2 linked regions of the Arabidopsis thaliana genome follow. The protein of the gene in region 1 interacts with the protein of each later gene in a pairwise test. Each region holds a gene or a part of one and is shown on either strand. Other genes may lie near its edges.

Evidence for each region.
Region 2: the proteins of BRC1 (region 1) and TSF interact in a two-hybrid assay, tested with the Arabidopsis thaliana proteins (one study listed by BioGRID).

What each region holds. Positions count from the first base shown.
Region 1 is NC_003074.8:6,379,635-6,388,011, forward strand, and holds BRC1 (TCP family transcription factor), read left to right. Parts: upstream 1-3,654; 5' UTR 3,655-3,792; intron 3,793-3,873; exon of another isoform or gene 3,874-3,902; 5' UTR 3,903-4,134; coding exon 4,135-4,807; intron 4,808-4,911; coding exon 4,912-5,007; intron 5,008-5,100; coding exon 5,101-5,636; 3' UTR 5,637-5,889; coding exon of another isoform or gene 5,890-5,970; 3' UTR 5,971-6,181; downstream 6,182-8,377. UniProt on the Arabidopsis thaliana protein: Transcription factor that prevents axillary bud outgrowth and delays early axillary bud development. Indirectly required for the auxin-induced control of apical dominance.
Region 2 is NC_003075.7:10,997,899-11,005,740, reverse strand, and holds TSF (PEBP (phosphatidylethanolamine-binding protein) family protein), read left to right. Parts: upstream 1-2,730; 5' UTR 2,731-2,775; coding exon 2,776-2,976; intron 2,977-3,621; coding exon 3,622-3,683; intron 3,684-4,207; coding exon 4,208-4,248; intron 4,249-4,506; coding exon 4,507-4,730; 3' UTR 4,731-4,970; downstream 4,971-7,842. Other genes in the region: LSD1 zinc finger family protein, read right to left, coding at 139-184, 280-311, 397-501, 591-714. UniProt on the Arabidopsis thaliana protein: May form complexes with phosphorylated ligands by interfering with kinases and their effectors.

The sequences.
Region 1 (8,377 bases):
TAAGCTTGTCGCGATAATTTGTTCGATTCGCTAAGAAATAATATTTGATATAGAACCATTTCTCTTCATTCCTGTAAACGAAAGTGAGATAACCAACTTAAAATTTATGATGTATTTTACAAAAGGCGATTGTAATTGAATTATTAATAAAATCGTTTGAACCGAGATAGTATGTTTAGACTAACGTTTTAATAAACGTTTCAAGCTGTTTAAAAAAAAAATTAGAGGATGATTTTCATAATTCTATTTCAGACTTATTAGTTGAAATTTTGTGACTAATTGAAAAAAAAAATTGGTGACGCTTTATTCAGAAATTTTGTGGCGACATTTGAATTTCTAGTATACCTACACAAATTTGTAAAGTAGCAATCTTTTCTTTTCTTAGAGAATTATTATTTAATTTCGTTGTCGTCCAAACAAGAAAATTCTAGATTCGTTTTTTGTGATCTCGAGAATTTTAGGAAAAAAAAACTTTTTTTTTTGGGGGCAAATGAAAAAAAATAACTAAAATGAAGAATATGAAAAGGAAGAAAAGTCAATATTGAGTATGCCTGTGAAATTAAAAAAGTGGAGACAAACACATAATTTTCCAGACACATTTCCATGAAAGGAAATTGCGCGAATGAATGGTAATCTAAAAGAGCATTGACTCTCTTTGCTATATATAGAAAATGATTCATTATCAACCTAAGAACCACACAAATACCAAAAGAAAAAAAAAGTTGACAACCCATTATACAAAGTAAAAATAAATTTTGTACTTTGAGAATGATGATAATGAGTGACTGAGATTTGTAACCAACAACTTTGGCAATAGATAGATAATATAACACATAATGAAAGCACTCAGGGCATCAATGCCAAACTTTTGTAAGGAAAAAAAAAAAGATTGAAAGACTAACCAAAGATTGAAACTTAAATTTTGATTCTCACTAATAAACAACTTAAAATTGTTATTAAAAGAAACAAACTCAAAATTGGTGATATGATATATGTTGTTGTCTTCTTCATGGGTTATTAGAAAGAAGAACTGAAAGCAACCTTAGAAGAAGCCAGCGAGTCCAACCATTATAGTCATGTGGTCCTCCTGATAATTGCAGGCCTAGAGATAGAGAGAGAGGGAAGAGAGATAAAGAAGAAAGAGCATGGGATGTGGTGGATAATTAGGCGGAGAAGGCGGCATGTATAAATGGAAAGAGTGGATAACAATGGATGACCAAAATAGGAGTTTTTATTTACAATGATAGTGTTTCATCTTTGCACGTAACTCCTAAGTTTGTACTTTACCTACGTGCATGTATATAGATGTGGATTAGTGACTTTTATCTCTTGTTAGTTATTTCTAAAAACATGCATCACATCACTTAACACAGCTGACAAGGTCAACATAACTACCTAATTAATAAACTCTTAACGACCGTTAACCGTATTAACTTCTAACTTCTAATATTGCTTTTAAGCGAAGAGATATTTCTAAAATATGTTTTTTTCACAAAAATACAAGGGAAAATAATGATACAAAAGCTTACAAGATAAGCACGAGAGAGAAAAGAGGTTCTCTTTTTAGCGAAAGCGACTTCTAAGTTATAACATAAGTATGAGAGAGTGTGTGTGTGAGAGAGAGAGTCAAAAGAAAATAAAAGATTGGTCGGTCATGCAATACTGAACAGAGAGGCAAAGCTTTTTTCTTTTCTTCCTAAAATTATTGCAGCCTTCTTTTCTTAGGGCTTCACACAGCCACGTGCATTCCTCCAATTTGAAAATGAAACTTTGTATTTTAACTCTCCTATAGCAAAAAGATTATTTTCTCCATATCATGAAAATCAATGTCTTAGAGCTAGGAAGAAGGATTTTGTGATATGAGACCAAAAATTCCAATCCGAGTTTTGATCTTGTTTTCAAGTTTTGTATCACAAATATGAAAACAAAGAGATGTTTTTTGTTTCTTTACATAAAAAAAAAGAAGAGAAATTCTTTTTTTTTTTTTTGGTAAAAGAAGAGAAGAGAAATTCGTCCAATGCGTTCGTCAGTTTTGCTATTTGAACTCAATTGGATTCCAATAAGTCTACGTAAGAAAAAGGAGCTACCCTTTTTTACTAATAATTTACAGAAGAGGATGTTGCATAACAATCAATTTAGAACAATCATCTATGTCTATACTTAATTTTGAGAAACATCCATGATGGATATAAATTGTTATAACAGTGTTTAAATTTATTTGATATTCTCAATAATATATATATATATATATATATTATAATATAAGAATTCATATTTTATACTTTAAAATACAATTAATAATATTTTACAACAATAAATAAATGTATTTAAACCTAAAAGTTGGCACAAGAAAATGGAATTAAAAAATATTACTGATCTGTATGGTTTTCTTGAGGGATCGCCATGATTGATGATTCAGTTTTTACAACCCATTCAGTTCGATAGATTATCTAATATAAGATTTTTTTGTCAAATATTTTTTTTGATCTAGTATAAGTTTTTTATTTATGAAACAACAAATAAAAGATTTGGACTTAAGAATGGATAGAAGTTTTGGAATAACAATATTTGTGTCCTATGTATAAAAATTATTAGATAGAGATACAAAAATTGTTATCTGAACAAATGCAATATATCAATAGTTAGTGTACATATGAAGTCATAAGAATTACACCAAAATACTCTTTAAAAATATGAAAAAGTTGTTTATAGTGTTTTGAAAAATACCACCAAACAAAACTTTATAATTTTATTTGACCTTAGTTCTTTCTTACGGTGAAATGCAAATCAATATTTTATATATATTTTAATTATATATTCCTTGTTCCTATTTCCTTTAGACATAATCTAAAATCTTCTAACTTTTCTTCTATTAATCCTTTTCCAAATAAAGGCATAACTAATAATAAAATTTATCCTTAATTTTATCTCATATTTATTTCTATTCAACTTTTTATTTTGATCTTCTTAATATGCAAACATACATTTATATGTCTATTTTTGGGTGAAATTAAATCTCATTACCTTTTATTTCTTTCATTTAGTTATACCTTGATCTTTATCTACTAAAAATATTAAAAAATATAATCAATGTGGAAAAATCTATCTAACTAAATTTTAAATGTCATTTCAATAATTTAAATAAAGATCTGTTTATTTAAAGTGAAATGTTAATGTAATTGGTAAATATATGTTCTGTCAAGAAACTGTAATATTAATTATTCTAGCTAAATCCTAAAGTTATAACATATATTCTATAGTAAATACAGTGAAATATTTTATATTGAATTAACTATTTTTAGGCATCTTTTAGTGCATGCTATTAATTTTAAAGATATATACAATCTTTGATTAGTTGAAATATAGCTGTCAACAATTTAATATCTATCAAATAATTATACTGAGTTCTTATCTACATATTAGTAATGAACTATCTCAAAGAAATATAAGAACATAAACAAACACAAGGTCCTAATTATAGAAAAAAATCTTGATAATCAAATAAAACGAACATCTATTATCACATTTTCACAAAAAACAAAAACGAATATATTTTTATCATGCCGAAGCTAGGAATTAAGAAAAATATATAAACAAAATAAATGCTTTTTCAAAGGCTTATATGTTGTTCCTTCCCCCATAATGATCTCTTTGCCTCTCTCTCCATATAGCTCTCCCTCTCTCTCTCTTTTTCTCTCTCTTTCTCTCCATTCTAGTTCATAGCACATAGACTCATTTAAGTACGTCGCCTGTGTTGTCTTTCTCAACCATTAGTCCTTTGCTTCGATAAAGGTATTCTCTCTCTACACATTTAGACACACACATAGATTCTCTAGAACAAAGACATATTGTACTATCTGACTAATCACTATTACTGCTCTTTTTTTTTCTTGATTTTGCAGGCTAAGGAAAAAAAGAAATCTCTCTTTCTAATTTTCTTGTTTTCATTTTGGTTGAGACTTGAGATCAATGTCTTCGTCATTGGAACAGTAACCTTTCTCTTTGATTCAAACTTTCTTTCATTTTCTTCTCTTTTTTCTTGTGTGTCTGAAGAAGATTATAGTACAAGTGTCATTCTCAAAATTTTGTCTTAGGGTTTTTTAATTTTGTTACTTCAAAAACCCCTAAAAAGGCATGAACAACAACATTTTCAGTACTACTACCACCATCAATGACGACTACATGTTATTCCCTTATAATGACCATTATTCCTCACAACCATTGCTCCCTTTTAGCCCTTCTTCTTCCATTAACGACATCTTGATTCACTCCACCTCTAACACATCAAACAATCATCTTGACCATCATCATCAATTCCAACAACCTTCTCCTTTTTCTCACTTCGAATTTGCCCCGGACTGCGCCCTCCTCACCTCTTTCCACCCAGAAAACAATGGCCATGATGATAACCAAACCATCCCAAACGACAATCATCATCCATCACTTCACTTTCCCTTGAACAACACCATTGTAGAACAACCCACTGAGCCCTCGGAAACTATAAACCTTATAGAAGATTCCCAGAGAATCTCAACTTCTCAAGACCCAAAAATGAAAAAAGCCAAGAAACCCAGCAGAACGGACAGGCACAGCAAGATCAAAACGGCCAAAGGGACACGAGATCGTAGGATGAGACTCTCGCTAGATGTCGCCAAAGAGTTGTTTGGCTTACAAGACATGCTTGGATTTGACAAAGCCAGCAAAACCGTTGAATGGTTGCTTACACAAGCAAAACCTGAGATCATAAAGATCGCGACAACCCTTTCTCACCATGGCTGCTTCAGCAGCGGCGATGAGTCTCATATCCGTAAGTATCCATTCTTTTCTAGTTTTAAGTCTATTCAAGTTTTCAACTTCTATGAATTTTTTTATATCATAATCTGAAAATTGTAAATTTCCTAATTAATTAAGGACCGGTGTTAGGATCCATGGACACATCTTCTGATCTATGTGAACTTGCATCCATGTGGACGGTCGACGATAGAGGCAGCAATACTAACACGACCGGTACGACCTTAACCGTTGCCTTTCTGATTTACAATTATATATAGAGTACTTTCTATCAAAATGTTACAAAAGATAAATTATCTTATACATTAGAAACAAGAGGAAACAAGGTCGATGGGAGATCGATGAGAGGGAAGAGAAAGAGGCCAGAACCGCGAACGCCCATTTTAAAGAAGTTGTCCAAGGAGGAGAGAGCGAAAGCTAGAGAAAGAGCAAAGGGTAGAACAATGGAGAAAATGATGATGAAGATGAAAGGAAGATCACAATTAGTGAAAGTTGTGGAAGAAGACGCTCATGATCATGGTGAGATAATAAAGAATAATAATAGAAGCCAAGTGAATCGGAGTTCTTTTGAGATGACACACTGCGAAGACAAGATCGAAGAACTTTGCAAGAACGATCGTTTTGCAGTTTGCAACGAATTTATCATGAATAAGAAAGATCACATTTCAAATGAATCTTATGACTTAGTCAACTACAAACCGAACTCATCATTCCCAGTGATTAACCACCATCGCAGCCAAGGAGCAGCTAATTCCATTGAGGTACCTTATTTATATCTACGAGTCACATTTATAATTTTTATGAGTTTTTTTCCAATGGTTTTATCTAAAGCTATACACAGTTAATTCAAGTTTTAGAGGTAGGGTATATCAAATTCAATGACACTAATGCACCACCATCGATTAATTAATGCTATATATAGTTTAATTAGAAGTTAGTTTTTGTGTTTTGTGGATTGGTACTTGGTTATTACTATCTAGTTCCACATCAGCGATTCAAAGGCGCCGGTTTTTTTTAACTGACTTGGTTATACTATTATGGTTTTTATTGTTCAAATTTTCATCGATTTTTTTTTTTTTGGGGCTATGTACCTTGCAGCAGCATCAGTTTACGGATCTTCATTACTCCTTCGGCGCGAAACCAAGAGACCTCATGCACAACTATCAAAACATGTATTGAAACTGATTTCATTTAACATTAATATCTCAAATTAATGATATATAGTTTGGTGAGAGAGATATGTTAATCCATCTTATGTTTTTTTTTCTTAACATCGTAATTAATCATGTTTATATGAAGGCTTTTTCGTCATTTTAGTGTCAAATATTAAACCTATGTGAAGAAATTAATGCAATTTGTATAATATTTTGTTTTCATAGTTCGAGTGGATTTTTAACTGATATGTATCCTTTAAACGTTGTTTGTTAATATTATCTCTGTGTTGTTAAGTTTGTCTATCGTTTGCTTTTAGGAATACAACAAATGACAAAAACAAAAGGAAACGTGACAAACTGATGACAAAATTATATAAGTTAAGATTCATGATTCAATACATTCTCAATCTATATTCCTTCTGAGACCTGGACGTCAGTTCTAGTAATCAGGCAATTCAAAACCTTTCAAGCCTATTAAGTTAAATGCGATCGACAAACGTATCGGGTATCACTAGGCTTGTGATCTATGTATAAGTGGGTTAACGTACATTGTATACAGACAAGTTCATATATGCGTAATTTGTGTAATATATTACGTGGAAACTTTATCATTTTCAAATATATTTTTTATAACTGATGTGAAGCTATTTGCTTTTTCCCTTAACCAATGATAAGTTCTGCTCTAATAAATCGAAATGTCTTGGGAGTAGTAAGTTACTTCTCTATTGTGATAAGTTTGAGTTACTTAATTTGGAGAGTTTGGTTTACTCAGTTTGGTATATCATGTTCCCTAACTAGAGTTTCCATGATAAATATTAATTATTATAAACAAATTAAAATTATATACAGTACTTCTAGATAGATCCTACAAGGGGTTAAAAGTTATGAAACCTGATGATATGTTGCACTAATTAAGCTGTTGGTCTTTGTAGTTTGTATTCCACATTTATGCTATAATAGGTTGCTATCAAACCTTGGGTGGTCGTTGTTGTTGTAGACCGGCGTGGGAAAATGTCAAATCATCCAAAATTACACAACTGTGAGCTTCAGACCACACATGCCGGTATATTCTACCCTTGAAATATACATAAATATATGTGTACATATATATATATATATATATATATATATTATGTTAAAGTTAATTTGCATAAAGAGAAATTTAAAAAGGTTTTGTGAATATAAGACATTAATTTTTTTTAAGCATTAAGCCATTTTCCAATTAAAATAATAGTTGTGTCTTTATGATTTTTATGAAAAAAACTTTTTTCTATGATAAATTTACAAAATGCATATTTTCACAGTTCTCTTATGAAACCTCTTTTTTGTGAAAATCTCATTATGTTTGTTTTCCTATATTAGCTACCTTGGTTCCCAACTTTTTCTTTGGTCTATGATTTGGCGTTTGCTCCTAAGAACGCACACATGCGTCCATATCACTAGAAAAAAAAAAACTAGAAAAAAAAAACTACTAAAATATCTAGTAAAATTCATCTACAGCCTCATAAAGTTTCGTTATTTATCAGAATTAAAATTTTATATAGGCATCTGATACTAAGACATTGACTGTAATATATATATATACTAATATCAGATGTGGAAACTTGATACATAAGAGCTATTATGGAACTTTTTTGGTTATCAATAAAAAAATTGAGCCTCTATGGATGACATAATTATTAAAGTAACTAAACTAGAAATTATAATTTGAATTACAATGCTTTATAAAAGTTGAGTCAAGATGTTTGAATTGTGTCTTAGTTAATTTGCAAACACACATGATGATATACATGGATCCATTAATATTACATCTTAGCCCCAAACATAAAAGACAATGTGGGGAGGATTAATTTAGTGTTTTGTTTTTAATGTGAAGTTTGATTTGATTGTACTAGTTCCTAGACAATTAATTAAGTACTGGAGGAAGAGATTATAGCGCAGTAAGGGATTAAAGAAGTCCCAAACACGAAGTGTCCAAATATTAGGAAGGAATATATATGGAAAATGTAAAAACTACTTCAATGACATTGAGATCATTGAAATGACAAAAGTAAGTTAAAAGAATAAAGAGACATTTGAGAAAGAGAAAAATGAACAAGTACACAAAGAAAAAGAAAGGAAACAATATTTCTATAATAAAAATTATCAACAACTTCATAACATAACTTTTTTGATACACCGGTCTAATATGTTTGGATTTTATCAATAAGTCGACAAAAACGTATGCTTATGTTTCTATGAAGTCATGTGCAAGGCAATCCCAAACATGAAAACACAATGAGAATCCAATTGTCTTTGACTCGATCAGGTCGAATTCTTTTTTGAAACGATTAATTTTATCAACGATATGAGCTAACTTTGAATATATCTAGTGACTTGGTATGATGGTTTCCAAATAAGCAAAGCACTAGTAAGGTAGAAAATGTGATTGA
Region 2 (7,842 bases), on another chromosome or scaffold:
CAATGTTCTTAAGCAGTCATGGATAAATGATAATCATACAGCTAAATGACAACAGCTTAGACGCTAATTAAAGATAAGAATCTAATGGTAGATCAAACAAAACAATAATAAACCCTACTAGCTCTAACAAGTAGTTACCTAGTCCACCGGGACCATCTAAAAGCTTTGTTTTAAGTACTTTCAGCTGCTTTACAAATCCCAGATATTTTCAGAATTCAGATTCATATACATCTTTGGGAAAAGTGGAAATACGTTACGTAAGCATCATCTCCACAGAACAATGTTATCAAACAAAAGTGTGAAAGAAGATTCTAAAGGACTAAAAGACCTTATAAAGCAATATAATACATGGTCTTTAAAAGGATTGATATGGATGTCACGATATTATTAATATACCTGGCACAAGGTTCGTAGTTTGACAGCAAGAGCATCTTACGCTACTAGCCCCACGCGTATACATAAGCATTGTTCTACAACCACCACATATAATGTGTGCCATGTCTGTATTCAGAATCAGAACCCAAGTTATAATACAATTGCAGAGCATATTAACCTCATCCTCAATTCAAATTCAACAAAGAAATCGATACCGTGAGGTGGAGGAGGAGGAGGAACCATGTTGATAGTGTTACATAACGCACAACGCACATTAGATGCTCCTCTAGGATACATCAATAAATTCCTACAACCATGACACACCAGCTGGTCCTGCATATCTGCTACTTTCATCCAAACACACACAAATTGCTTCAAAACAAGACCCACACAGATGAAACCCTAAACATTTCACAATACTTAGTCATTGCAAGGAAGCAATTGGAGATTCAAATACCTAAAAACTCACCTGATTAACAAAAAGAGCTGATTTTGGAACGAAACCCAAATCCAATTCAAAGCCAAAAACTTCTGCATCCAAATCAAAACAAGAATTGTGTGTTGAATCAAACAAACAAACAAGGACAATGATGAGATTACAGAATTGGCGAAAATTGAAAAAAAGGAACAAACTTTGGAGCTTGTTCTTACCGATTGGAGAAGGGTAAGGAATCGAATCCAAAACCCGCGAAAGCTAGAGCGATGATATGCAGAAAATCCAATCCAAATTGAGGAGATAGACAATAGATTTCGATTTTTCTCTCTCTCTATCTCCAAAATCTCAATGCCCGGATTTATCTCTCTGTTTTTCGTAATTTACGCTTCTTTTTTTTTTACATGACGCGTAAGGGTTTTTTTCTCGGTCATAAACGCGTATATACAAACGCAGCGATTGGCTTCTGCTAATTAAATATGAATTTTTATGCCAAGCATACGTCCATAGATCAATTAATTATGGGTAAAAATATATTTTCTAATTTTCTGCAAATGGTGTAATAATATTAAATTATTTTTTGTCTACCCCTTTGAACCAATGAAAATTCTATAATATTTGTGTGTTAAATGAAAAATCGTACATGCTGCCAAACAAAAAATTCATAATAAATAAATGAAAATCGCATATAAACTTTAATCAAATGTTCTGAACATAACGTCCCACGTATGTTTTCGTTTGCTTATTCATATCGGAAGAAGAGTAATTTGCGCATTTCATATTACAAATTGGGGAAATGGACAATAAATTGGAGAGCAAAAATCATAGCCATCTAACCTCACACACTTTTCTTTTTGTTAGGTACCAGAAATATCAAGAATCACTGAGCTAATTGTATTCTCATGACTTTTTGTGGTCAGCAAATGAAACTGGTCTGCAATAGTTTTTAGAAGTCTTTATCGGTTTATTTCTCATGTGTTTTGTCAGAAATTTCTTAGAAATTTTTGTCTTCCAAACTTGGGGAACTAAATTTGTTTGGAGTGTAAGAATACACGGTTGAGCTTTTAGGTAATACACTTGTTTTTGAAAGGTATAATGAATTTTAAAAAAATTACTTTATCAACATTTAAGATTTGGAGACAATTTTGAAATCACGTTTGAAAACGAATTTTTTGGCCAATTGTTCACTTTTCTGTCGTTATTATACTTCTGTTACCTTGTGTCTATTTGTTAATTTACTTGTTTTATTTGATTTACTCCATTGTTTTAAAAGTTTTACTGGTTTGTTTTGTTAAATTGATATTTTTGATGGTATTAATTAAGTTTAGTACTACATTAAGAAAAGAAAAAAAAGAGTCTAGTACGTATGTACACACCAACCAGATATGTGAACAATTATGGCGTCAATTTATCTGGAGCATATATACTTTTATATGATGGTTTAGGTTGAAGGAGTTATTCTAAAATGCATTAACATCATACATAATCGGTGTAATGTAGTGTCCTTAACTATTTAAATGAGTGACATGTGACGCAAAATGCGTGACGTACGCAAATATGCAGCATATTATATGCTTGTGACATTATTTTAAATAGTTCATGAAGTTACAATGATAAGTCAGAATAAATTACATACTAGTGGCTAGCAAGAAACAAGTGGATGATGTATAATTTGGAATATGATTATTTCTGTTTTATACTGGTGGGTTTTGGAATAAGAATACTATAAATTTAGAAAAAAGGAAAGAAAAAAAAAACATGAATTATAAGTGATATACGTACGTTGAACGAGTTGTAGATTCTCGAAACTATACACGAAAAGACCCTGGTAATGATTTCATTGGAGAGAATAAAGCTAAATAGCTAATTATTGCAATTCCCAAAACGTTATATAAAGAATAGCAAGTAAGGGTTCATAAGGTAAGAAGCAAAACATTTGATTGAGATACTTGAGATCCAAGATAAATATGTCTTTAAGTCGTAGAGATCCTCTTGTGGTCGGCAGTGTTGTTGGAGATGTTCTTGATCCTTTCACGAGGTTGGTCTCTCTTAAGGTCACTTATGGCCATAGAGAGGTTACTAATGGCTTGGATCTAAGGCCTTCTCAAGTTCTGAACAAACCAATAGTGGAGATTGGAGGAGACGACTTCAGAAATTTCTACACCTTGGTGATCTTCTCTCCTTCATTCCTCTTATCTTCATTGATTTAGTTCCTCGTAGCTCACTCTTTCGTTTTCGTAAGCTCCATATATTGACGAAGAAACCTTAGATATATCCAAATTTAAGCGTAACTAGATTTGATCATTCTTTTCTTTCGTAGCCTCATCTATATACCTGCTGCGTTTCCTCTAACTTCTTGCATGCATAACTGTTATTGGTTTGATTATTATTTTAAATCAATTTTGAATCTTTCTCGATTATATATATTACGTTTTCAAGAGACGGTTAACTTGATTTTGTTTCGCTTTTATTTTTATTTTAGTTTTTTTATTCTAGGATACATACCTTTAGAAAAGCATAAATATCTTAATTGACACTTATTTTAACGACTTTTGAATCTGAATAGTAAAGCCAGTATTTTTAGATACCCTTATATTAATGGAAAATGTTACTATTACCTTTTTCTAATTTAAGCTTCTTCGTCTTTACTTCTTTTTCTATTAACTTTTGGTTAACTTCTTCGTCTTAATGTGTGTTATCACTTTTCAAGAGTTAAAAAAAAAAAATCAAACTCATGATTTAATTTCTTGATTGCTTTAATATATTCATAATCGATCTTCTCTCTTATACGGTTGTTGATGGGTTTAATAAAGGTTATGGTGGATCCAGATGTGCCGAGTCCAAGCAACCCTCACCAACGAGAATATCTCCACTGGTTTGTATCATATCTCTTCATTTCATTTAACTTAACTTTAGATCGTGCATCACACTTATTTTCGAGTATAAATAGAAAACAAATAGGTAAGGTATATATGGGAATTAGAAAAAGACTTTAAAATTTAGAGATTCAATACATATCTCAAGTGACACACAAAAAACGATATTTTAGATTTTTACTAATAATAGAAGGGGACATACAGAATCAACTTTAAGAGAGCAGCAACTTGTCAAGAAAAAAGATGTCTTACGTATACATCCAACATAGAGACTTTAAACAGGAATAGAACATGACTTTGTGGTCAGAGTTAGTTTTTGTTTTAGTGTGTGTGTGTGTCATGTTATATCATAGCTTGCACGCAACAAACGTCTATTCTTCATAGTCTGACCTTTTCTACATGCTTTAGACGAAACTTTCAAAAACTTTGATGCATGCTTTGTTTTTTAGTCGAATTTAGTTAACTATCTGCAGGTTGCACTGCACCATATCTTTAACTTTAATGGATAATACTCTCGTTACAGGTTGGTGACTGATATACCTGCCACCACTGGAAATGCCTTTGGTAAGTTTAAGTAACTCTGTATAGATACATTAGGTAAGATAGATAAAACTCATATCACCAAGCTTAGGCTTTGAATAGTGTTAGCATGGAGCATATATATTCTTAAGAAGATATCTATTTTTATATAGCCTTCTTAATTTATATGTATGTTGCAACAATCAAATCTTTAATCTATATAAAATAAGCGACACAAAACACTTACCTAGTGGACAAATTAGGAAGGGCTAATTAATATTTGTGTTTATGATTGTTTATCAGGCAATGAGGTGGTGTGCTACGAGAGTCCACGTCCCCCCTCGGGAATTCATCGTATTGTGTTGGTATTGTTCCGGCAACTCGGAAGACAAACGGTTTATGCACCGGGGTGGCGCCAACAGTTCAACACTCGTGAGTTTGCTGAGATCTACAATCTTGGTCTTCCTGTGGCTGCCTCTTACTTCAACTGCCAGAGGGAGAATGGCTGTGGGGGAAGAAGAACGTAGATGCGTACCTACTTACGTTAACTAATAATCTAATCGTATAATATTCCCTTAATGAAGTATTTAAGCATCTATGTCAATGTAATAAGAATTTAAAGATACGAGCTAAAAAAAATGATGCATATGCTGACATCGATGTAAAGTAGTTTACACTTTTAATGTAATAACTAGGTTTTAACCCGCGGTACACCGCGAGACTATTTTGTTTTTTTAAGAATAAAAATATAATTTGTTTAGTCGATTAAAAATATATGATTTAATATTTTGTATTTTCTGAATATACAACTCTTATATCTGTATATTATTTAGTATACAATTACTATGTTTAACTTTTACTGTTTAAAATATAAGAACAATAACGTACAGTTCATTAAGTTAAAATCTAGATTATAACTAAATAATTTAAAATTTAATTATATTTTTATTTTATAATTGTTTTGTTTAGTATTTAAGATAATATAATTATATTTTGATTGTTATATTTAGGACTTCACACGTGGTATACCGTTTCGTATTACTATCGACTCAAACCCGTCCTACCATCTAATCCCGTTCAGTGAAACTAAACATATCTAATGGATTTCACCCGTGCTATACCGTCTCGTATTACTGTCGACCCAAAACCCGTCCTACCATCTAACCACGTTCAGTGAAATTAAACATTTTGTTTCTGTTATTTTTGTTTAAATAATACTTTAATTTAAAAGATCTATAATTTAAATTAATTTAAAAATTTATTTCAAATGGTTATTTAATTGTTATAAAATCCATACATTATAATATTGTAAACATGTCCCACCATCTAATCCAGTTCGGTAAAATTAAACATTATTACTTTTTGTTCTAATAATATTTTTATTAAAAGATTTATAATTCAAATCAATTTAAAAGTGTTCTTTTGAAATAGTTATTTAATTTTATAGATTTCATATATAATATATATTCTTAACGTTTTTTCGTTAAATATTCTAAATATTTTATAAACTTTAAATAACTATAATATTTATCTTTAATAAAATATAATATTAATAAAGTCCTAAAATTTCTTTTTTTTAAAAGTAATTAGAATTGATGGAGATATATTAGATAAGGAAATGCTAATAATTAAGAATATTAATTAATTGATGATAATTAATGCCAATGGCATTCTTTGTAAATAAGTTCCAACTTGAGGATTTATTTCACAAAATGGTTGCAAAAATGTATATATAGATTGAAGGGAAGAAAGAAATGTGTGTGAGTGTGTCTTTATCTAAAAGAAGTAAGAAATGTGTGTACGAGATTAGGTTACGTACGTGGCTTTCTAGTAAAAGGATCAAAATAAAAAATGAATTTTAGGAAATTTGTATTTCATATAAAATTTGTGGGATGCTTGTCAAAGTGCACTTCGTAAATACACAAATGAAGAAGGTGATTACCTACAATTTTGATTTATTTTATAAATATAGTGTTATATTCTTTTCTTGATTGTGAATCTTGTATCTAATATGGTTATTGAGTAAATCAACCCTAATATTAACCTGAAAAAAGAAAGAACTTTAATAAAACGCATGCAACTATAGTAATAAAACAGAAAAAGAAGTCCGACAAAAACAACAGAAAGTAATATAACTTTTCTTATAGCCAATGGCTTGATGTTCGACCCACGCTCTTTGGCCCACTAGGAGAAGTTGACTCCTTTGTCCACCACATGCGTGGAATAAAATTGGCTTACTATGTGAGAAAAATTAAAGTAAGATAATAATAAATAATGAGTTCACAAAAAAAAAAAAAGTAATAATAAAAAATGAAACATATTAAAAGTGATAATTGCATTTTATAGCATTTTCAACTCATTTTTATTTTTAACTTTATACTCTATTTTTATTTCTATTTCATTCTAACCAATTTCTATTTTTATCTCTAAAATATAGATCTCTATTTTTTCTTTTATATTTAGGGCATCTTCAATGAAGATGGTCTTAAGAAACATTTAGGAGACTTGAATTTCTAATAGTATAATTTTAGATATCAACTAAATGTAGTAATATGGATAAATATAATATGTCAGGTAGTCAACAAATCGATTTATTTTTATCGGTTATTCAGCAAATCGACTAATTTTTATCAGGTATTTATTTTTCCAAATTAAATATAGATAATTAATTTTAATACTCTTAAGGATTAGAGTCGGATCATATAGCAGATATACCAAAATTTGAGAGTACTCCGACCTAAGTGTAACGGCGAAGTTCCATAGTGCCATTGCCTTGAGCCCTTAACAGCTAAAAACATTTCTACTCAGGAATAAGATGAAAGGACACCTTTTTCCACCCTTATCTCTTTTCTCTCTCTCCATTGATCAATTTCACTTTCTACTAGAATGTAATTAGGGTTTAGGTAACCATAAGCACAAGGTTTGGAGAATTCTTCCTGCACTCAAAGAGAAGACAATAACCATAATGAACATTTTCAAGAAAAAGACAAGTTTCTAAAAGGTAAAAGATTTGATTTCTACCCTTGTTTTTTGGATTTTCACATCATGATGGTAAACTGATTTGTCGGCTATAGACTCGGGACTAGATTTTATAGAAGGATTCTGCAAAAAAAAAAAAAAAAAAAAAACACCTTTGACTTTACTTGTGCTTGAACCTGATAGTGTGGAGTGAGAAATTTGCTAGGTTCTTATTTCCGTAATTGAGTGTGAATAGTCTCATAGTTTATTAAGTGAATGTGTGTGTTCTTGCTTAATTAGTAACTTTTTACACTGTTCATATTTGTTTCACTGTTTCATTTTTGGTGTGTGTTCTCTCTTAAGTAATTGAATTGTGTGTTTATTTACTTGCTTCAGTTCTGTTTTGCTTCAGTTGAAAACTATTTTTTACTCTTTTGTTTCATACATTCAGCAAATGGCACCGAGGAAACAAGCTAAAGTTATCAATTTCAGAAGCAGTCTGCACAACTGGACGACATGATTGAACGTAATCTGAAATATAGAGAACTTCTCTTTCTTATATTTCGACTTAGGTTTCACATTACATCATAGAGTCCTTTTATATTGAATACAAGGTGATGTAGCCTAAACCCTAATAATGACAGGTGTCAGTCTTGGCAATCATCACCGGATCCAAGACAC